Linked DNA regions of Oreochromis niloticus. Each later gene encodes a partner of the first gene's protein in a complex. Links are inferred from orthologs where the notes say so. Each region holds a gene or a part of one and is shown on either strand. Other genes may lie near its edges.

What was found. The genes of interacting proteins can lie anywhere in the genome.
Region 2: the proteins of gle1 (region 1) and nup42 are in contact, whole or in part, in a crystal structure (PDB 6B4I), measured with the Homo sapiens proteins. The link is inferred for Oreochromis niloticus from reciprocal best matches to the Homo sapiens genes GLE1 and NUP42. Residues at the interface, in NP_001003722.1 of Homo sapiens: Ile385, Ile593, Leu598, Asn599, Trp602, Arg603, Ala606, Gln607, Leu609, Asn610, Gln636, Tyr637, Gln638, Val639, Gln640, Lys643, Met644, Ile646, Leu647, Glu650, Asp651, Tyr652; in NP_001357375.1 of Homo sapiens: Asp185, Asn186, Val187, Leu188, Phe189, Gln202, Phe203, Gln204, Ser205, Lys206, Lys207, Phe208, Leu210, Gly211, Lys212, Ile213, Pro214, Leu215, Lys216, Pro217, Pro218, Leu222, Leu223, Asn224, Val225.

The regions. Positions count from the first base shown.
Region 1 is NC_031977.2:33,266,131-33,273,795, forward strand, and holds the start of gle1 (mRNA export factor GLE1), read right to left. Parts: upstream 3,014-7,665; 5' UTR 2,927-3,013; coding exon 2,828-2,926; intron 1,551-2,827; coding exon 1,314-1,550; intron 1,209-1,313; coding exon 1,050-1,208; intron 600-1,049; coding exon 451-599; intron 345-450; coding exon 284-344; intron 1-283. Other genes in the region: outer dense fiber protein 2, read right to left, coding at 4,454-4,600, 5,592-5,717, 6,937-7,099, 7,293-7,393, 7,536-7,665. UniProt on the Homo sapiens protein: Required for the export of mRNAs containing poly(A) tails from the nucleus into the cytoplasm. May be involved in the terminal step of the mRNA transport through the nuclear pore complex (NPC).
Region 2 is NC_031985.2:25,558,880-25,566,668, forward strand, and holds the start of nup42 (nucleoporin NUP42), read left to right. Parts: upstream 1-4,783; 5' UTR 4,784-4,896; coding exon 4,897-5,062; intron 5,063-5,899; coding exon 5,900-6,185; intron 6,186-6,303; coding exon 6,304-6,392; intron 6,393-6,478; coding exon 6,479-6,555; intron 6,556-6,748; coding exon 6,749-6,835; intron 6,836-7,176; coding exon 7,177-7,279; intron 7,280-7,590; coding exon 7,591-7,789. Other genes in the region: gasdermin-E, read left to right, coding at 601-722, 883-1,003, 1,112-1,182, 1,722-1,949.

The DNA of each region.
Region 1 (7,665 bases):
ACAAAAAGCATGAGCAGGAACGAGAAAACTTTTTCTACCCCACTAAGCCCAAGAAATTCCCCTGTATGTGCAGGAGATCATTACTACAGCAGACTACCAAAAATAAACAGCATCTACTTCTCCTGCTGCAGAGCTCTGCACATCCAGCACCTCACAATCGGTTTCAAACTTTGAGACAGAACATGCAAAATTTTTGCAAGTTCAACAAGCAAAATTAAAGACTTCCGTAAACAACTTGACAAACATGGGTTTAAGCTTCACGTTTCCTGAACTTTCCACTTACCGTTATTCTGCGCCGCTGCTCCTCCTTCAACTTCTCTTGACGCCCGATGCTCTCCTTTGTTCTGCAGTACAGGAAGTGGAAAACCAGACCAGGTGTTTAATCACATGTGAAATTTCAGACATTTTTAAGCATTATAACCATTTCAAATGCTTCATGATTCCCCTTACTCTCTTTCCATCATGTCCCTCATACTCTGGTACTCCTGCCTCTGCTTCAGCTCCATGAGCTCCTCAAAGCGTTTCAGCTGCTCTGACTCGGCACTCGCCACCGCCACTACCTGGTTCTCCTGCATCTCCTGCCGCACCCTGAGGGCCAACTGAGTCGACAGATAGAAGACAGTCCAGTGAGACCCTTACCAAGTATATAGTACGCAGGGGTCAACATGCAAAATATATAACTGATCAGTAAGCCAACAGAGGTTAGTATGAAGACGTTTAGACCCATTTCCAGTAATGTGTAAGTGTCTAACATTACATGCTTTTCCATAAACTTTAACAAGAAAACCTGAACATATTCATATAATGTTTAGATTACATGTTAGTTTCTAAAAACAAAAGCTGAAAGCAAACAAATACAATAACACAAGCTGCTACTGACAAAAATCATAAGAGGAGTTAAAAAAACAAAACAAAAACCCAACAACAACAAAAAACATTTGAAGTTTGGTTTGGAAATAAAATTAAATTTAAAAAAAAAAAACATGATCACTGTTAACCTGTTTCTCAGTTAAAAAAAATTAAAATAAAAAACACACTCAATCTTGAACCTTAGCCTTTTCTCGATGCTCCTCCTGAACTTTGATGATACAGCCAGCCATCTCCATTGCTTTGGGAGACAGGAGGGAAATGGCAGGTAATGACGTAGGACTGGAAACTCCACTGACATCTGCCTCTGGACTTTCATCCTTCACCTTATCACTAAGAGTCTACAGAGCATCAACATGAGGAAAAAAAACCCATCAGGGTCAGATATTCAGTTAAATTGGAAAACTATTTAACAAAATGACACATAAGAGACATTAAGGACTTGCCTGTTCTCGCTCATTCTTTACAGACGCTGCTGCAGAAAATGCAGCTGTCCTGGCGCTGACATCGGGGACAGATCCGGAAGAAGAAATGGAGACTTCTGAGAGAACAGGGCTGGAGTCTCCGGATCTGGAGCCCAGGAAGGACAATGACTTCTGCAGGGGCGCTGAGCTGAGACGCTCCAATATGACACCAGCGATTGGGGACAAGCTTGGGGAGTCTTTACAACCTGCTAAAAGAGGCTACAAGAACACAACCGGGCTTCATTTAGAGATGGTTTATGCACAGAAACTGTATGCATCACTCATGTTGCCATATCCTTTCAGAAAGTAGGACTCCTTAAAGCCTGAAATGATTTAATCAAAACAAAAACACATCAAACACACTGGATTTTCCCTGTCTGTAAAAACATCAGGTAAAGCCTTACACATGTAAACACCTTCATGAGGAATCAGTGAGTTCATACCTCTGCTTTTATAAACATGGAGTTCAACAACAGAAATCTGTCTCAAATCACCCCTGACACTCGTCCCCCTGCCTCCCCTTTCTTGTGTGCTGTCCATTTCTTTGGATGGTTTAAGCTCCTCTACCTTCACTACCTCTGCTCCTTACATCCAAACTGTTGCACCCGTCTCCTTCTCAAGCACACACATTCCTTTTCCCTATACCGCCACCTACTCCCTCCTCACTACAGTCTCACAATGTCATCAGTGAACCTCACAGTGTACAGAGACTCTTGCCTGACCTCATCTGACAGCCTGCATGTCACCACCGCAAACAAGAAGAGCGGAATTATAGTTGACTATTGTCCACTGCCCTTGTGTCAAAATCTGGAAACTAAAATGGAATTCAGCCTCCCAAATTCGAAAAGCGCAATAAAAATAAACTTTGCTCTTTTAAAAAATAATAGAATAAAAACCTTTCAAAGAAAGTCCTACTGATGAAGTGGTTAGAAAAATTAGCAATAAGTAATAATTAAATACAGTTATACTGTTAGTGTTTGCAGCAGGGTTCAATAGCAATGATCAACTCTGCTGTGCACGTCCACACCTCGAGTTGCAGCCAATTTTAATCGCGGTCTTTGCGAGATATAGATAGATATATATATATATATATATATATATATATATATATATGTACATAAAAACCTATATAGGTGTATATATAGGCTTCACAGTTTATAAACGGAAGTCACATTAGTTATCTGTCAAATAAAAGTAGTAATAAAAGTAGTCATTTGAAGAAAATCCATAAACGGATATCTGAAGATTAAAAATAAAAAGTACGTAACTATACTACGTTATTTGCGTAAATGCCTCTCAACCTTTTGTTTTCAACCACTGTTTATTGATTAGCCTCTGAGCTGAAGTCTTACTGCCTGATCTAAATGATTAAATTGTCACTTTGAATAAAACTCACCCTTGTAGTGATTATTTTAAACAAGCGTAGCGTGCTAACTTTAACTAGCTACCGTTTAGCTAGCTCTAGTTGTTTTTTTAGCTACCTGGCGGCAACTCACCTCTCCCCTTTCCAACCAGAACGGGTCGAAGGAGATTTTCCCCTTTGGTGAATTTTTCAAGGCCTGCAAAGTTTCCCATCGTAGACTTTCAGAAGGCATCGCGAAACACAAAAAAACTACAACTGATTAGCAGTAATGCTAGCCAAGTTTGAATCCGACATACGGCGTTACATAAAATACAATCCGAAGAGAAACCACCAGACTTTATTAAGTTCCCATCTGGGACATTTATATATTTATTTCTTTGCCATCTGTATAATCACACATTACAAAATGATAGAGATAACTCTATTATGGACTATTTTAATATTTAACTATGATAATTTCTTTATTAGGTTCCCACAGTCCGTTTTGGTTAGAAAGATTCCTGAGTGACGTAACCCGAGGTTCACTTTCCTTTATTAAGAAAGGAAATTAGAAAACGCCTTCCTATAATTCACAGTTGAACTGCTGTAAGAAAATCTGCTTCTTTTCCAGTTGCTTCGCGTGAAGAACATAGATTTATACAAACTCTCTAAATCAAGACTATGAGCTATATTAACTGATCAAAGTATTTTCAAGGTTCAGTATAACTCCGTTTGGATTGATAAGGTCTATTCTTGCATTCGAGCCTGTAGGATTATAATGAATTAATGTTTACTGTGATGTTTGACTCGCAGTCATAGAAATCCTAAACAAGGAAGAAGAAAGGGGTTTTACTGGCTCAGTACTCAGCAGGAAAACATAAGAAAATAAGATGTGTTTCATTAAAAATTACCGTATTGTGCAATCGCAGGGTTCTCTAGTAATATTGCGCTATAGGCCAATTTCTATACGACTATCCAGTTTACTTAATCAGCATTCTACCAAGAAACGAGTTCATTTCTGCTGCTTCATAAAAATCCAAGTAGTACTGAGGAGTAGAAAAAAGTGGGGTTTGGCTCTGAACAGCATGAGGAATGAGGTAAGCGTTTCAGAACAGACTCGAAGGTTTGAGCCATCCATGGGTGCAAATTACGCACCGATATCATAGGACTGGAAACTGAAAATAAAAATAAAAAACATATAGAACCAAACATCAAACATCAGGATGTTCCTTCTTTTTTAAACATCCAGTCTTTGTATTGATATATTTCACGGGCTTTTCTCGTTTATCTGACACACATAAAACAACAGGGTAAAAACATGCTGTGGTGAACTAAAACATTGGTTTTGTAGTCCAATTTCTCTACATTGTAGTCTTACAATGCAGGTAGAATGTTCCAAAAGTACCTCCTAACATAAATGAAACAAGTCTTTTTTTCCTTTTCTTTTTTTACGTTGACTTTAATGACACTCTGGTGTAAAATACAAAATGCTATAATATATACCTCACATCATTTTTATGTTTGTAAATCAGCAAGAATATTGTAAATCATAAAAACATTTATTGGAGCTTTTTATCTTGGCTCTGCAGTTGCTGACTAAGTTACTGGTAAGTTATACATAAATAAAATGTTTAGGCAACTAATAACTGAGAATTTATCCATAAATTCAATTTTATTAATTTCATACAAAGTCAAAAGCAGACCTTTAATAAATGCGGTTTATGGCCCGTATGATAGTTCAGGAGGATCACTGCTGGTCAGGCTGGATAAATTTTGCTTGTCAGCTTCCAAGCAGAGAGTCACCGAACACATTTCCGTAGGAGGTTTTGAGAAAATGGACGTAGTTCTGCAGGCTGCGGTTTGTCGAGTCCGACTGCTCCAGCCTCTCCTTCATGTTCTGCAGCTGGCTCTGGAAGCGTCGCTCCATCTGGGAAACAAAAGCAGGGATACACTCCTACATCACAACATCACCTTTTTTCCCCCCTGTACAACTTTGAGCATCATTATCATGTGATGTTTCAGTTTCAGTACCAAAGCTGCCTTAAATCTACCCAGATTTACAAAAAGGACAAAACCAGTGAAAGCAATAAGAGTCTCTGTGTGTCTTTGGACAAAAAAACAGGAGTGATGCGCAAATTTACACACATGTCACAGCAACAGCAAGTTCTTCAAAGCATTTATGGGTCAGGAGCTGATGGTAAATAATTAACAATGAACCAGAGTAAGAGAAATAGAGAGAGAGAGAGACAGTGGACAGCTGCTGTCAGCCTGCAGCAAAGTTTACAAAGACTTCCAGATTTCCAGAGTGAGAAACCGAGTTGGGAGTTTCTCTTCATGCTTTTTCTTCATCCTGAAACTCTGCTGTGTGAAACAGCGAGCAGCTGAAAGGATGACTGTCTTTATGTTAATGATTGCTGAACAGGTGGTTTAACGAAGGACCCTGATTGGCTTTTTACCTGTGAAGGTTTTTATAGTGATTATAGTAACGAGCGCTGCTGCTGGAAATTTGAAAACACATTTACGTTCACAACACCTGAGCTCGCTGTCTCCGTCATGTTGCCACTTGTTGCGCGAGGCTGGAGCTCCTCTGTGAGCTGTGACGGAGGAGCTGCTGTGTTTTAAACTTTTTTTTGAAAGGCTAGATGGCCTTAATCTTAAAATATTTTATGTGAACACGTGGTCCTAACTATGTTTTTATTTGCAAATGAGCGAAACGTGAAAAGTGACTCCTGCTCCACCTTTTTCCATGTTTGCCACAGGTTTCAAACACCTCCTCTGCTGACTGCTGTAGAAGGTTGGTGGAACTGTTGTCACTGACCCAAATGGGCCAGAAGGAGCTTTCCTGACATACGTTTGTGCTGGCCTCTTGGTTTTATCTAAGCCTGCCTGCATGTGCAGAGTATTCATCGGTGACTTACTTCCTCCTTGTTTCGCTGCAGTTGGCTCAGCTCCGTTTTGGCTCGGCTCAGCTGGCTCTGAAGGTCCAGGGCTTTAGACTGAGACGATCTCTCTTTGGCTAAAACCCTCTGCATGCTATCGTCTACCTGAAGGCCGAACATGAAAAATAAACATATGAGCACCAAAATCCTCCGGGGAAAAACTGATGATTTAGTTTCTTTGACATTATCTTTAGTGAGTGTGTACAAACATGTAAATCAAAGCTTTAGTCTTTACCCCAGTTCAACTCAATGATCAGTAGTCAGTGTGGACGTGGACACTGCTCACATTGAGGAGGTGTAAAATCTGGATCATCAGTTTAACACAGAACAGAAACACCAACCAAAGTGTTGAGCCTCACCCACATTAGCAGCACTAACACCTTACTAACAGCATTAATCGAGCAAATATATAAAAAGAGTCTGATTTAATTGACTTGAGGACAATTTTGCTCAATCATAAGTTAATACATTTGTTTTACCACTCAAGTTAAAGATTGCTTGCTGTGTTCAGCTCTGACTCTGACCCACAGACCAATGAAGGAGAGATGGAAATCATTCGATTTTTTGACCACATCAATGTGAAATTAAATTTACTGATTTATATTCCCTGCAATAAGTAATGTATCTAGTAACAAAGTCGACTGACTGATTTTCTAATCTCAGTTGTAGTCTAAATTTTTTACATCTTTAATTGCAGACTTAACAGCAGTTTAAACACCTTCTGCATCACCAAGTTAATGCGTGCAAGCTGTGTGTCAGTGTTTGCACAGCAGGACTTCACTCAGTGACGTTAGTGAGATACAGATCAACAGTGTGCATGCATAAAACATCCATCCCTCCCTCCCTATCCAGGGACGGGTATAAAAGCTATTAAATCAAAATAAAAGAGTTAGTGACACTGAGGAGCCTCCAGCTGATTTTAAACCAAAACTCCAAACATGACCTGCTTCAGAAAAGCTTAAGTGTTCAGCACCAGTAACCATGGCAATCTCTTAACATCCGCCAGGTCACTGCTGAACACTGTAGAGTTTGGGAAGTCCAGGATAATGGGTGATGCTACTTGTCAAATCATTTATCTTACATGCATTTCCTTTAACAGTTACTCTGTTATAAGATTTTTGTTGGGTGAGGTAGATGTGAACCAAACCCCACCACCAACCAGTTCAGCAGCATCTTGGTAGCTGTTTAAAAGTTGAAGGAGAGCCACCGTGTTGATACTGACACTTCTGGCTTTAAGCTCATTGCAGACCACTAACCCATTCACCCCTCTGGAGCGTGATGTTTTGTAGAACTCTGAGACCTCTGTGACTCCACGTGTCCGTACCTGTTTCTGTACGTCGTCCAGAGTTTGCTGCAGTTGTCTGGACAGGACGCTGCACTCGTGACTCTTCTCCTCCAGCTGCTGCTGGATGCTGCGGATACTGGCTTCCTTCGAAGCGAAAGATTGAGACATCTCTCTGTTTTCTGCCTTCAAGCCCTCCAGCCTCCTGCAACCAACACACAAATCTAGTGTCACAGCTTGGAAAAGATCAGATATAATACTGATTTTTCTGTATTACTGTAGGATCTTTACAATATAAAGCACCTTGAGGCACCTGTTGTTGTGATTTGGCTCTGCGGTATATAAATAAACTTGAATAGAATAATGTCCATTAAATGCAGTTTCTCTGTGACTGTTACCTCTCGAAGTTGTACACTTTCTCCTTCAGGACGTTGTTTTCCTCCTGCAGCAGCAGGTTCCTCTGCTGAAGCGTCTCCAGCTGAGTGCCTTGCTGCTCCACCTGCAAAGGAAAACATTTAGTGGAACATGTCAGCCATGACGGGTTCCTGGACACACTGTGCATGGATTATATTCATCAGACTCATTAATCTTTCCGGATTTGTAAGTATGCTGGGTCTTTTGGGTTCGAATGAAACCTCTACCTTGTGCCTGACTTCAGAGAGGGCGGAGTTATTCTCCATGTTCCTCCTCTCACGTGCGTCAGCCTCCTGCTGGGCTTCTCGGAGCTGCTGCTCGGTCTTCCTCAATCTGTCCGGTAGAGTCTCGAGCTCT
Region 2 (7,789 bases), on another chromosome or scaffold:
CACCCGCGATAAACGAGGGACAGCTGTTTACAGATACTGAGAAATATAAAATTTGAATCCCTTTTCTCTTTGATCTGAGGCGCGGGGGAAAAAATATCGACAACTCGATGAACATCATTTACAGATATATTGGGTAAATGCCCAAAACATCTATAGAAATGTAAATCGCCGCTTGATTCATTCATTTGCTTATTTTGTTTGGACCGTAAACAAGGCGCGAATAGGACACCGGAAACAAAGCTCCCCACAGGAGTTTCCGCACCGGAAGTAGCATATGCTAACGTGCACACAGTCTATTACTTGTTGATGGAAAAAATATAACAAATGAAACACAGTAGACTTATGACAAACTGAGGAAGGTTCCTTTTTGTCCCAAATACAACTGTTATTTTGTCTGTCTCAATGAAATGTTGCCTATGTCGTTGCATTTTGTGGTTTAATCTCAAACATTATAGCTGAGCTGACTTTCCTCAGTAGCAAACACTGGCACTAAAACTAGCTGTAATACCTAAAAAAATGATTATGACAATATGAAAGAACAGCAGTCACATGTTTATAATAATCGATAATAAACAAATAGTATCTTCTGGTTTGTTGCAGAATCGCAGGAAAAAGTCCTTTCTCCTCTGGCAAAGCTCCCCCAGCCGACCCGATGGGCTTTATTCAAGAAGCTCCAAGAAACTCTGAGTGACAGAGCTGCTCTGTCATATCTGCAGCTTGTGGTGAGTGAAACTGGTATTGCCCTGTAGACCAGATGTTCGTGGTGACCACTAGCCAGTCGGCTAAAATAATCTGTCTCGCGGTTGTGTGAATAAATGTGTAACCACAGCATCCCAAAATTTTTATTTTTCCTTCTAATATTAAGCCCTTTTTCTGTGTCAGCTTGAAGATTTGTGTAGCAATGAAATACACAATGGGACCCCAAAAGAAGAGCAACCCAGTGCAGAGAGTCCCACTGAAAGCACCCTAAATGCAGCATACCTGTTGGTCAGTGCCATGGAAGGTAAGAAGTTACAGACAAAAAAAGATCAGCATACAAAGCAGTGGTGCAGAATCTTTTGCTTTTTAGTGGGTTTAACCTCATCATGTGCTCTGTTTAATGTTTTTATAGAGTTGCCCGATGAAACTCTGGAACTTCTGAGCAAGAGCGCTCCTGATTTTCTGCAGGCCTTCAACATGCTGGTTAGCTAACTTGTTTCAGTTTAGTACACATTGTTGGTAATGATTGGTACCATGATTAGTACATTGGTGGTTGAGTTAATTCAATAATTCAATATGTACGCAGAACACACTCACACACAAAAGAAAACTATGTATTAAAAATAAATTTTACATCTCTAAACATGACACGCACCTGTTTAGCTTAGTATAAACGGGGAACTAGCTAGCCTATCTCTGTTCCAGAGGTGTCAAAATACACACCTATCTGACCTTCTAAAGTTCACTTAATAATGTTATTTCTACTGTATATATTTTTTACCCCCCAAAATTCCTTGTGGCTTTCTGGAGGCTTCTTTAACCAGGCTAGCTATGCTAAGCTAACTATAACCAATTATGGGGTTTTAGCTCTATATCTAATGTTATGACATGAATTCATAGTATTTATTAAGCCATTTCATCTTTCTTTATGTTAGTTCTTTGAGGAAAGTAGAATTAGAATCTGTAAACCAGCATTTTGCAACAAAGAGCTTGTCCACTGATCCACCTACCTATCTCCCCAGGTGTGCAAGCTAAAGACCAGCGATGTTCTCAACATTCAGTCTCTTCCTGCCCTGCTGCAGGATAACCAGGCCTTTCAGCTGGCAGAGCAGCTACTTTCCTCCACCAGTGTGATGCTAAGGAGAGACGCTGACCGCCTGTGGATGGAAACCAGAGATAATGCAGGAGTCCTCCCAGTGGTCCTCTTCCTCAGCATCCATGGATTGTGTTTGCTCTGCAATGCACTTTAATAGTTGTAGTGCCTGAGTGTGCACTCCCTCTTCTTTTTTATTGATTGTATTTGCACCATTTCTTTTTTTATTGTAAAATCTTATTACATGTAAGCTTGCTATAGTTTGTTACAAGACTTTTTCATATTATCATCATTATTGCTTTTAAAATATTGCTTTAGATTTGTTACAGAGCAGGGGAATTTTTTTTTCCTAAATATGTTTTTATTATTTACAACAAACATTGTATAACATGTATTTTGAAAAAAAGAAATATATATTGATAGATAGTGATTAATTGAAGGATTTGATATATTGTGGGGCAGCTCTGATATGATATATTGTTTCATTTTCTTACTTTTCACAGAGTTTGATTAGACACCTTAGCAGGGTTCTTGAACTCCAGTCCTCGAGGGCTGGTGTCCTGAAACTTTTCCATGTGTCCCTGTTGCAACACACCTGAATAAAATTAGTAGGTCATTAGCAAGAGTATAGAACTTGATTGCATGCTGACGTGGCAACCCATAACCCTACTCAAGTGTTTGGAAAAATGTACTTCTAAAAGTACTTTTATTGCACCAGATTCATTCACTCATGAGCTGCTGTAACATGAATCAAATGCTCTTGCTAATGACCTACTAATTGTATTCAGGTGTGTTGCAACAGGGACACATGGAAACATTTCAGGACAACGGCCCTCGAGGACTGGAGTTCGAGACCCATGCCTTACAGTAATCTGTCCTACAAGTTCAATCCAGACGTTCTTATCTGCTAGTTTTTGGTACACAATTTTTTTTATTTTTTAGTAAATCTCATCTTTTAGAAAATTTACTAACCAGGGATCACTTGAAAGGCGATTAAGCTAAAGGCAGTTCAGATTTCTCAGCTCAAGAAATGTTTACATGTTGATGATTTTATACGGAAGCGTAGAGCTGCCACCCAGGGAAAAGAAAAATAGAGCTATATCACATTATAACGTGACAAGTTTATTGATCTAACAATATACTTTACATGTTTGTACAATATACCTTTCACATTTGAACAACATAATATCACGTTATTACAATAAACATAATTATCACGTTATAACAAAAAAAGTTTGTACGAACGTGATAATTATGTATATTGTAATAACCTGATATTATGTTGTTCAAACTTAAAAATTATATTGTACTAACATGAAAGTATATGTAACAAACAAGAAAAGTATATTGTTAAAACAATAAACTTTTCATGTTATAATGTAATATAGCTCTATTTTTCTTTTGCCTGGGTGACAGTTCTACACTTCTGTAATTTTAAGCTTTTCAGTTAACATAAAAAATTGAAGTTTGTTCCATGCCTATGGTATGTAAAATAACTAGCCTTTCCAAATCTATGTTGTGAAAAACATGCTACATGCCAATTCATGCTAGGATTTTTAATTTTAAATGGTACGGCATTGTATTACTGCTCATCTTAATAATCAAAATAGATTTATACTTCTTTTTTTTTTACTTAAAGAAAGCTTTATTTTTAATACTCTCTTGAAGACCAGACTTTGTTAAAACAAGCTACACTATAAAATACAGTAGTGACATTTTTAAAAGTAGTGCTTTTATTAAGAAGATCATGTGTTTTCATATATGACCTATACATTTTTATGACATTCCTTTTCCCATGACCTTACTGGTACTTACTTTCTAATTTATTGTTAAGAAAGACTATATTACTAGGCTTTCAAAGAAAGTGTTTTGCATGTAGTTGTCTGTATCAAAGTATGTCATTTTGATAACACAGAAAGCAAAAATAAAACTTTTATATTTTCCGTGAATTGTGTCCTCCATAGAAAAATAAATGTGATGCAAACTACATTTTATTGTACATGTTTAGAGAAAGTAGTGCATTGTGGGATTCCTGTGTTGAAAACAATAAACGATCATCTTTTACATTTACATTTTTGGAAATTAAGAACGAGTGTGGTGTAGTAGCTGTGTATCAATGGGGTATGGATACAGATTATTCACACCATTTCTAATTATCTTAAATTAGTGTTTACTTATTTATTTATTTTTTTACATTACAGTAAGCACCGTAACTTTCTTATAGTTCCACCATAGCTTTTAAGGTTACTATTTACTGACAGCTACAAACTGTAGGTAAGAAAGTGTTTGACATCTTCAGTGTGCTTTTTTTCATAGGTTTAAAAAGTTTCTCCAACTCTGAGATTCCAAACCACAAAGGTGTGATATTTGCTGTGTATTTTGGATTTTAGTCAGAGTTTGTGCAAATGTTTAATAATTATTAAATATTCTAAGGTCTTACAAACATTAAATCACTTTTAACTTTAACATTATTACACATCATGTTGTAGCTGTAATTTACAATTTTTTAAAAAGTGATCATTTTAGCTGAGTCATGTTTGATAAGATCTTATGAGTTAGTAGCTGAGTGAGTTATTAGTAGTTGTGACATCATTTAACAACATTTACCAAGGACTTTACCATACTTTACCAAGTACAAATACTTATACTACTACAATTTTCAGGTATCTGTACTTCACTTGAGTAGTTCTTTTTCTACATTTTTGAACAGATATCTGTAGTTTCTACTCCTTACATTTTGTCAAATAAAATAAAATAAAAATACTGATATTTTTTTTTTCTTTGGTAAAGGTTAAATTTAAAAAAATTGAAATAAAATGTATTTTTAATTTATTATTAATTATTTAATTTCTTCTTCTTCTTCTTCTTCTTCTTCTTATTATTATTATTATTATATAACTTGTTAAAATTAAAAAAAATATCTGATAGAGAAATTATCTAGTAAAGAAATTTAAAAAAAAGAATCCCACCCGAAAAAAAAGACCACGTGGGACAAGCGGTGACGTAAATCTCGTGCGACCGCAGTTCAGACGCGGCCACAAAATATTGTCGAGTGGAAGTGGGGTTTTTTGGGCTCTAAAAGACGCCTTTAGCACCTTTTGGAAATGCCAGTGTGCAACTTCTTTCTTCAGGGCCGCTGTCGTTACGGCGAAAAATGTTGGAATGAGCACCCAAGAGGAGGGAACAGAGGAGGAGGAGGTGGTGGAGGATACAACAACAACTACAGCAACCGCTCCTCTGGTCAGCAACAGCCCAGAAGTGGAGGTGGAGGTAACGTCTTCGATAAATTAATATTCATCTAAACCTACTTTCAGTTTCTTTAGCATTCTTCTTGTGATGTTTTCGCTCTCTTAGCTAGCTGTTGTTAGCCTTCCTTTTCTGTCCCACTGAATTGTAGGCAAATTAAGTTTGTTTCGTGGGTAAGGTATTTGAACAGTGGGCTGAGATACAAACACATCCCGAGGCCGAAGCAGGATTTGTGCTTATCTACGTAACTTAACCATGGTGTTAACCCTGGATTTTCAACTGTGGTTCATTTCTTACTGGGGTGTGTCACCGTCATGCTAACTTATGTAGAAATGGAAGGGTAGCCTGAGTATGTTGAACTCACTTCATAGCACGGGGCCCAGTCAAACATATCAACTCTGTTAAGTTTTAAGTATGTCAACAACTTGGCAAATGGTGTTTTTTTTTTCAAACTTGAATGGGCATCACAAAAGAGGTTTTCCTGTTATTCAGACGCCACATGAATGCACATTTAGTATAGGAGGGATGGGTAATGTTACTGTGTCGTAGTTTCTTTTCCAATGCAGTTATACAATACGCTGGAAACAAATACATATTTTACAAAGGTCAGGTGTGTGCTAAACAACAGCAATTTAATTTCATGTTATCACTTCATGAGACCTCGTGGTGGTTATCAAATGAATGAGTGTAAAGCAGACAACCAGCTTGCAGTAAAGAAGAAAGTCGAGGATAAAGCTAACCAGAGAGCTAATAAAGTGATTTAAACAAGGATTAAAATGGGTTAATAATAATGATGCACTATGGAGTGTATTTTACACAATTTTTAATGCTTTGTGACACTGGTTTGTATTTTGATTCCAGGGTTTGGAAACAGAGTCTGGGTGAATCCTTCCCAGCAAAAAGGAAACTACATCCAGCCTTCATCCTTCTCTTCTCACGGAAGTGACGACTGGGGTCATGGAGGAGGAGGTGGTGGTGGTGGAGGGCGAAGAGAAAATGTGAAGAGCTCCGACTTTAGTTTCTCAAGTCAAAACAGATTTTCAGCTCTTAATACTCCCAGCACCTTTGACAGGGGAGGCAGGGGGGGAGGAGGAGGAGGAAGGGCAGCGGGAGGAACAGTTGGTGATGAAGACGACGACAAAAAACTGTGAGTCTTTATGAAAAAACAAAACGTTCTTTTTTTTTAATTTTTATTTTTTATTTATTTATTTATTTATTTATTTTTAATCAGTCATAAGAAAATCATTGTCATATTTGTTATCTAGGGAAGTCATTCAGATGGACATGGATGTTTGGGAGAAGTCTGGCCAGTGGGGATTCTCTTGTTATTATAGCTTCCAGACACTTGTATCTGGTGTGTATGAAATTTTTCATTTTAAATGTATATTTTTAAAAACTGAAACACTGGACCTGAACATGTTTCCTGTGTTCTGCCTACAGGTTTCACTGACCTCTCCCCTGAAGAGCTCCGGCTGGAATACTACTCCACAAGAGCTTCAGGAGATCTGCAGGGCTACGTAAGTGCAGTGTTCCTTAGTAATGTCATGTCTGTTTGGCTTTGGGTCAGTAGTCATCTTCTTCGTGGATAGAAGCATGGCGCCAAGTCTTTTTGTTATTATAATCAAGCTCTAATTTAATATCGGAAGGCAAAACGTTAAATGTGTTTAAGTATTTCTAAGAGTATAAGAAATTCCTCTTGTCTGTGCTTAGATGAATGCCATCAATCAGCTGCTCAGTCAGTGGAAAAACAGAGTCCAGGAATTGAAGATTATGAATCCAGCCACTCGTGCGGCACTGGTAAGACACACAGATGCTCACAAACACCGCTTCCCAACTTTAGATCATTTGTTACAATTCCAGAGTCCATAACTGGTCCCTAATGAGACGTGAAAACCAAACAGCACTGAGAAGATGTGTTTAGATTTTTAGCATTAGGTTTGCATGTCAGCAGTGTGCAGCAGTGGAAATGTATTAAACGAAAATGTATTCTAAAAGTTTCCTTCTACTCTTTGAACGTATCGAACACCTGGTTTACATTTAATGCTGAGGTTCTGATTTCACACTAGCATTGCTCCTGTCTGTTTTGGGGCTTTTAATTCAGTGTTTTATTTTTTTTACTTCATTTGTTTTCATTGCAGCTTGCAGAATTAAATGGTGCTGCACCTCAGGGATCTTCAGGTGGGTTTGGTTCGACAACAGCAACTGGATTTGGAGCCTCCATCTCCAGCTTTGGAAGCAAAGGTAAAGCTCAACGATTTCTTTATTGTAGCAGTTAATAGTTCATCGTGCTATATTAACCCAAAACACAAAAGTGTTTCTGACATAAAATAGCCAGCGGAATAACCTTTAGTTAAATCATAAACTGTCTTTCCCATTTCTAATGAGTTATGATGCTTGAGCAGATTTTACAGAGACTGCATGTAGTTTAGTACTACTTTAGTAGTTTAGCACTAAATTAATCAAAGTGTAGGTTTTCAGAATTTGATAATAAAATGTATTTTGTGAAATTATCCATCACTCCATGATAACTCTAAATCCTTCTGTTCCTGCAGGTTTTGGTGCGCCAGCACCAGCCCAGGCCAGCGGTTTCAGCTTTTCTGCTTCAAATAGTGGATTTGGCTCTGCAGCCACACAGTCATCTTCAACAGGTTTTGGTAACATCTTAGCAGCCCCCACACAGCCTCCCTCTGGGTTCAGCGCTGCGTCCTCCTCTGCACCTTCAGCTTCAAGTTTCTCCTTCGCCTCTAGCAC